Callithrix jacchus: one gene and its partner. The protein of the gene in region 1 interacts with the protein of each later gene in a biochemical or structural test. Links are inferred from orthologs where the notes say so. Each region holds a gene or a part of one and is shown on either strand. Other genes may lie near its edges.

What was found.
Region 2: the proteins of HSP90AA1 (region 1) and STIP1 form a complex in vitro, tested with the Homo sapiens proteins (9 studies listed by BioGRID). The link is inferred for Callithrix jacchus from reciprocal best matches to the Homo sapiens genes HSP90AA1 and STIP1.

Annotation. Positions count from the first base shown.
Region 1 is NC_133509.1:137,004,234-137,008,138, reverse strand, and holds the start of HSP90AA1 (heat shock protein HSP 90-alpha), read left to right. Parts: upstream 1-1,550; 5' UTR 1,551-1,612; intron 1,613-2,131; coding exon 2,132-2,293; intron 2,294-2,381; coding exon 2,382-2,748; intron 2,749-3,030; coding exon 3,031-3,164; intron 3,165-3,758; coding exon 3,759-3,905. UniProt on the Homo sapiens protein: Molecular chaperone that promotes the maturation, structural maintenance and proper regulation of specific target proteins involved for instance in cell cycle control and signal transduction.
Region 2 is NC_133511.1:121,241,678-121,245,582, forward strand, and holds the start of STIP1 (stress-induced-phosphoprotein 1), read left to right. Parts: upstream 1-1,105; 5' UTR 1,106-1,163; coding exon 1,164-1,172; intron 1,173-3,905. UniProt on the Homo sapiens protein: Acts as a co-chaperone for HSP90AA1. Mediates the association of the molecular chaperones HSPA8/HSC70 and HSP90.

The DNA of each region.
Region 1 (3,905 bases):
CTGGGCCGGGGGCGCGCCCCCAGGCTCCGGAACAGCTACCACGGGACTCCGCACGCGCCCCCAACGCTGGGGCCCACGCCACGTGGCTGCTAGTTTCCATCCCCTTCCCCCGCTTTGCAATGCCAGGCCAGAAGCTTTCTGTTGATTTCACACACTCTTGGGGGGTCTCACGCCGCAGTCCGAAAACCCCTGCTCCTGAGCAAGTTGGGTTTCCCTAGAGACCAAGAAGTGGAAGTAGTTCCGTCCTTTGTCTACACGGCAAGGAGCTTCCAGATTATTCCCAGGGTAGCAGGCGGCCCCATCATGGGAGGCGCCAGAGACAAAGAGGAGGAGGACATGGGCCAGGCAGGGGAACCAGGGTGATGACCTGAGCCAGGTCTAAGGAACCACCACGCCTCCAAGGTTCTCACAGCTGACGCTGGCCAAAATATCGTAAAATTCTCATGTCCAAACTGGCTCTTCCAGCCTGGGTAACATGGTGAAACCCCGTGTCTACAAATAAATACAAAAAATAGCCGGGCGTCGCGTCGGCGCCTGTGGTCCCAGCTACTCGGGAGGTTGAGGCAGGAGAATCACCTGAGCCCGGGAGGTCGAAGTTGCGAGTGAGCCGAGGTTGCGCCATGGCACCCCAGCCGGGGCGACAGAGGGAGAGCCTGTCCCAAAAATACAAACAAAAAACCCAAAACCTGGCTTTTAGGGCAAGTTAATCACCCAAGAATTCTTAGATACTTCACTTGGAGACCTCAAATAAATCGATCGGCAAAACGATGCGCTTTTTAAAATCATGCCTGGTGCAGCTGGGTGAGCATGAACTTGTTCCCCAAATTCAGGGACCCTGACGTGTAAAGGACCCGGCTTTGGGAACCCAAAGGTAGGGGGCGCTGCCGAGCACCCCCGAGCCGGACAGCGTCCTCAGTGAGCAGCAGCAGGTGGCCCACGGCCCGCCCGCCCCCAGGGAGCAGAGCCCCGCGATCCCAGCGCCGCCAGGCTCTGCGGCAGCAGGACCACGACTCCGGCAGTCTACCCGGCGCGTGAGACCCGGGGCGCTCCCGTCCACGCACGACCCTCCGTTCAGGCGCGCCTCCCGCCCAGGCCCCGCGCTCCGTTCAGCCGGGTTGTCAAGAGGCGGGGCGCTCTCACGGCACCCGCACATGGGTGACCGACTACACCTCACTTTCGCGCATTTCACAAAGGCCCCCACGTCCGGGCGTGCCCGGTGGGTGGGGGTGCAGGGCGGAGAGCGCGGGCGGCCGGGAAAGGCGCCCGGACCTTCCCGAGAATTCCGAGCTGCGCAGGCGCCTTGAGGCTGGCGCGGGGGCGTGCAGGGGGCGCGCAGCGGCTGTTGAGGGAGGGTTGCCCGGGCCGGGCCACGCGCGGGGCCTGCGCGCGCCAGGGGGAGGGGCGGGCCGCGGCGAGGGCGCAGGCGCAGGCGCGCGGCCGCGGCGGCAGTTGGGGAGGGTTCTTCCGGAAGGTTCGGGAGGCTTCTGGAAAAAGCGCCGCGCGCTGGGCGGGCCCGTCGCTATATAAGGCAGGCGCGGGGGCGGCGCGCCAGTTGCTTCGGCGTCCTGGTGCTTCAGCTGCGCTGCGGAGCCCGTGCGGTCCTTCAGCCAAGGTAAGGGGCGGTTGGGGGAGGCTGGTGGAGGGGGATTGGGGGCCGGAGGCGGCGGGGGCTGGGCCGGGGCCCTGAATCCGCCGGGGCCGCGCTCCCCACTCCGGAGGCCTCCGCACCCGCTTCAGGAATGGGCCGGGCGGCCGCGGGCTCCCCGAGGCTCTTCAGCCGCAGCGGGACAGAGGGCCGGGCTGCGGGAGAACCCCCGACCAGCCTGGCTGGGGCGAGGGGCCGAGGAGGCCGCGGTGCGGGCGGATGCGGGAGGGTGCGGGCTGGCCGGCGGGGAGCGCGGCGGGGACTGGGCCCGGGCCCGCAGCCGCCTCCCGGAAGCGCGCGCACGCTCCTGGCGGTTACCGCGCTGCGGAATGAGGTCATCCTTTGTCAGCCGCCCTTCTATTTTCGGTTCACTTAAAACTCCGCAAATCTCCTGTTGGGCTTTAAAAACGTGGAGGGCGCGACGGCATTTCGTGTAGCCCCTGTAGACATCCTGCAGGGTGTGAGACCGCCTCGCTGTCCTTCCAGATGCCCGAGGAAACCCAGACCCAAGACCAGCCGATGGAGGAGGAGGAGGTGGAGACGTTCGCCTTTCAGGCAGAAATTGCCCAGTTGATGTCCCTGATCATCAATACTTTCTATTCCAACAAAGAGATCTTTCTGAGAGAGCTCATTTCAAATTCCTCGGATGTAAGTCGCTTGTTAACTCGGAGTAGGGTTTTGGTTTCAGTGGGGTTGGGTGGGGGCTGCATGCTTAATTTGTAATTTTTGTTGATAGGCATTGGACAAAATCCGGTATGAGAGCTTGACGGATCCCAGTAAATTGGACTCTGGGAAAGAGCTGCATATTAACCTCATACCAAACAAACAAGATCGAACCCTCACTATTGTGGATACTGGAATTGGAATGACCAAGGCTGACTTGATCAATAACCTTGGTACTATCGCCAAGTCTGGGACCAAAGCGTTCATGGAAGCTTTGCAGGCTGGTGCAGATATCTCTATGATTGGCCAGTTTGGTGTTGGTTTTTATTCTGCGTATTTGGTTGCTGAGAAAGTAACGGTGATCACCAAACATAACGACGATGAGCAGTACGCCTGGGAGTCCTCAGCAGGGGGGTCATTCACAGTGAGGACAGACACAGGTAGGCGCCCGAGCATGCACGGGTTAGTCAGTGGCGGGAGGGTGGGATGCTGCAGCCCTTGGACCTCTGAGGCTTCCAGCAAGTTGTGTTTGCCCAACGTTGAGGAACAAGCTAGAGCACTTAATATGGCATGACTTGCTTACTACTTTGTGGCAAGGCACCTAGACCTGTTGTGGGAACCTTTTCATCTGTAGTAATGGCAAGTCTTGATAGATCTGAGTGAGGCATGGCTTGAACGCTAAGTTGATTGGATTATTGAGTCAATTTTCCCTACTTCTGCAGGTGAACCTATGGGTCGTGGAACCAAGGTTATCCTACACCTGAAGGAAGACCAAACTGAGTACTTGGAGGAACGAAGAATAAAGGAGATTGTGAAGAAACATTCTCAGTTTATTGGCTATCCCATTACTCTTTTTGTAAGTTTCTATGTAATTGCAGAGTGAATGCCATGCACAGTGGCTCACGCCTATAATCTTAGCACTTTGGGAGGCTGAGGTGGGTGGATTACGAGGTCAAGAGATCGAGACCATCCTGGTCAACTTGGTGAAACCCCGTCTCTACTAAAAATACAAAAAATTAGCTGGGCATGGTGGCGCGTGCCTGTAAGCCCAGCTACTCGGGAGGCTGAGGCAGGAGAATTGCCTGAACCAAGAAGGTGGAGGTTGTGGTGAGCCGAGATCCGCGCCATTGCACTCCAGCCTGGGTAACAAGCGAAACTCTGTCTTTAAAAAAAAAAAAAAAAAAAATTGCAGAGTGAGTTACTCTCTGTAGATGACTGGGGTGACTGAGCTACATCCTTATTCCTTAGATCTGTTGAACTTGGGTTGTTATTTATTAGTGTGGAGCCTGGGGAACCTAAGCTCTATCTACTACCTTAGTCTATAAGATACGTTGATGAGAAGCTGCCTGGCTGCTTCTGGCTTGGCTGACTAGGCTTTGGCCTTAGTTGAAAATAGTTGCTCAGTGTTACCAGTTGCAGCAGTGATGTGATTTCACGTCTTGTTTTGAAGGTGGAGAAGGAACGTGATAAAGAAGTCAGTGATGATGAGGCTGAAGAAAAGGAAGATAAAGAAGAAGAAAAAGAGAAAGAAGAGAAAGAGTCTGAAGATAAACCTGAAATTGAAGATGTTGGTTCTGATGAAGAAGAAGAAGAAAAA
Region 2 (3,905 bases), on another chromosome or scaffold:
CACTTTGAGGTGCTTGCCCGCCTCTGACTTCTGGGGCTGGGATTTAAGGCCCTACCAGGCCATAACTCGCCCGCCGATAGGCGGTCAACTCCCTGATTAAGCTTTTCCTCTCCTTCACCCCTTTACATCGGACTCACGAGGGCTGGGGGCAGCTCCCTTTCGTTAAGTGCTTCCTGCGTGCTCAACAGCGCATGAATTCCCCTCGGCCCTCCAGGATGAAAGGACCCGCGAGCGCGGGCTCAGAGAGGGTATGCAGTTCCACTGAGGACGCCCAGCGGGACAGCCGGGCCCGCAGCCGTGAGATCCCCGGCCTGTCCAGCCCAAGCCCCCGGCGCCCTCGCGGCATTTCTAGAACATTCAGAACCTAACAGCCAGGATGCAGAAGGGCCGGGCCCGAGGCCAGAGCGCTGGACAGCACGGGCAGCTGGCGGTCCAGGGCCAGGCAGCGCCCACCGGCAGGGACCCCCATCGCGATACGCGGGCGAAGGGATGGGATCCTGTGCCGTTGGCGATCCCGGGGACCGCCTGGGACTCGCGGCCCACGGGAGCGAGAGGAAAGGGCCGCCGGAGCCACAGTGTAGCCTGCCTGCGGCCGGGGCTGCCATACTCTACGGGCAGGGCAAAACCCGGCCTTTTGAAGGACAGCAGCTTAAGCCAATTAGCGCAAAGGGTTGGCAACCCTCTAACCCAATTGGAATTTCTCTCATTTTAAAGGCGGTTCCTACATGGAGTCCGGCAGCCCAATGGGAGAGGTGGAAATTTCCAGAACGAACAGGACCAATGGGCGCGGCCAGCGGGGCCACGATTGGCAAAGCAAAAAACCAATCCGTGTCGCAGAAGTCCGCTCCTCCCTCCATTCGTGGAGCCTGAGATGGGTGGGGTTTATGGAGGAGAGACCAATCCTGAGGTGCGGGGGAGGAAGGGTTGCGGGAATTACTCCCTGCTGTCCAATGAAAGGGAAGCAGAGATGATGGGCTGAACCTCAAGCCAATAATAAAGCGTCACAGAGAGCCCCCTAGAAGAACTCGACCAGTGAGCAGGAGAGGAAGGGGCGGGAGACGGGGGTCCCGGCAGCTTCTAGTAGGTTCCAGAAGGCGGCGCGTGCGGTTGGTAACGCGGAGCGGACGGATTCGATTCAACGAGATTCCGGGCTGCGCTGCGCTATGGAGCAGGTGAAGGGGGAGGGGCGGGCTAAGGCTCGGGGACCGGCGGAGGCCAGGCCGCGGTAGGGGGGCGGGGCGGGTGACGGATCGAGGCGACCGAAGAGGGGTGCTGGGGCCGGACAGAGCGGCGGCGGGGAGGCGAGGGTGTGAGGGCCGCTGCCGGCGGGCGGGAGCGGGGTCTATAGCGAGGCCCGGTCGCGGGGATCGTCCATCACCTCTTGGTTGGGCAAGGAGGGCCCGAAGGAGGCCACAGCTTGTGAGTCCGGCCGGTGGCGGGAAGAAGGGGCCGCCGCCGGGCCCTGAAGGTGTCCTGAGGGGCGGCTGGAAGCCGAGCGGGGGAGGGTGTGGGCCACACGGGGCAGGGTGGAGGTGGGCGAGGGGCCGGGGTCCGCACCCGCGTTGTCGCCCTTCGGGAGATCTGTGACGGCCGACGGAGAAACCTCTCGGACTGGCCACGAGGAACTTGGACGGATCCAGGGAGCGGGGACGGGACTACACTGGGAGTCGCCGAGGGTCGTAGCAGCCTGGTGTACCCAGTTGGGGCACATCCTGCTCCTCTGCATCTGAGAAGGTCGGGGAGCGAGAGTGTTGAGCGGGGGTTCGAGGAGCCGCAGGCTGAGTGCCTGATGCGGGGAAGGGGAGGGTGCCGCAAAAGTCCTTGGAACGAATTCCATCTCTGCCAGTGTTTTACAAACGTATTGCGGCCCCTCCCCCTCTTCTTGTATGCTTGTGTGTGATTGTCGAGTGACCGAGGACTGACACTTCCGAAAGGTGGGCTTTTGACTACGCGGGGAGGAATTCGTGGTTGTAGAATTTACGTTACAGAGAACAGCAGCTGGAAGTTATGGGCCTCCATTGAGCATTTGGGGGGCCGAGTTTGAAGCGGCTACTGCTTGCTTTCAGTGACTTGGTTATGTCCTCAGTAGCTTGTGGTTGTGAAAGGCCTGGAGGTTTTGTTCCATTGGAAGCTGTCATTGAGCTGTAATGATTCATCGGAAGAAAAAGGACAAAACAGCTCACTTTTTTTGGTGTGAGACAGAGCTGAGCCTTTTGGTGTCCTGTAGCAGTTGGTTCTTTGGGCAAAACTCGAGCTTCCTTGCTGTGTTAAAGAAAAGACTACAAATGAAGTTAATAAACTTTTTGTTGCCCATTTAATAGTAAAGTTGTATCTAGGGTTAAATGGGCTGTAGTATAGGGGAGAAGGTTTCTGGACTAAGGCATTGTTCTTTTAAGAAAGTATCACAGCTGGGCGTGGTGGATCACGCCTGTAATCCAGCACTTTGGGAGGCTAAACCCAATAGATCACCTGAGGTCAGGAGACCATCCTGGCTAACATGGCGAAACCCTGTCTCTACTAAAAATACCAAAAAAAAAATTGGCGTGGTGGCGCATGCCTGTAATCCCAGCTACTCGAGAGGCTGAGGCAGGAGAATCCCTGGAACCAGGGAGTCGGAGGTTGCAGTGAGCCGAGATCGTGCCACTGCACTCCAGCCTGGCAACAAAGTGAGACTCAGTCTCAAAAAGAAAAAAGAAAGGATCTCTTTCTAATGTTACCAAATTTTAACTTTATTTTTTAGACACAGGGTGTGGTTCTGTGGCCCAGGTTGAAGTCCACTGGCAGGATCATATAGCTCACTGCAGCCTTAAATTCTTGGCCTCAAGTGGTCCTCCTGCCTCAGCCTCCTGAGTAGCTGGGCACACCACCATCACAACTGTAATTTCTAAATTTTTTGTAGAGGTGGGGGTTTCGCTATGTTTGCCAGGCTGTTCTTGAATTTCTGGGCTCAGGGAATCCTCCAGCCTTGGCCTCTCACAGCGTTAGCACAAGGATTACAGGTGTGAGCCACGTTGCTTGGACTTAAAATGTTCGTTTGTTTTTAAATCACTCATAGAAGTGTATGTACAGGTAGATAGTCAACGAATGTTTTGCTGAACTCAGGCCTGCAAACTGATGTGGTTTCTGTACAGGCGACCTGCCATTTAGCCCTAGGTGTGTTTGGGCCCACTGTCTTGAAACCATTCCTGAAAATAAACATGCAACTTCTCTACCTTTTGTTTTCATTTTCAGCTGTCAAGTTTGTATTTCAGTTTAGAAAATACTCAAGTTGGGCCAGCCTGATGGCTCACACCTGTAATCCCAGCACTTTGGGAGGCTGAGTTAAGCAGATCTCGAGTTCAGGAGTTCGAGATCAAGCTGGCCAACATAGTGAAACCCCATCTCTACTTAAAAAAAAAAAAAAAAAAGTTAGCCTGGCATGGTGGTACACCATGAGACCTGTAGTCTCAGCTACTTGGGAGGCTGAGGCAGGAGAATTGCTTGAACCTGGCAGGTGGAGGTTAGAGTGAGCTGAGATTGCACCACTGCACTCCAGCCTGGGTGACAGAGCGAGACTCTGTCTCAAAAAAAAAAAAAAAACAACTCAGGTTGGACAGATTTTGAGTGTTCAAGCGTGTATTTTTTTAGTAGGGGCCTTTCAAATAAATCCCACAATGTTACACTTCTTACATTTAACCCAGCACAGGCATACGGCTGCGAAATACATTACTCTTTTAAAATGCTGGTCATGACCTACGAAATTGATTTCCTGACCCACTGCCGATCAGTGCTCTGTTTGAAAAATGCTTTTCTAAAGGATGGGCAGGAACTTCACCAGCTGCCTCTTGACACCACTTGAGTTTTGTTAACTCCTTGTCTTCTGGCCTCCATCTTGGGCTCTAGGATTTTTCAATCCCCTGTTTGCT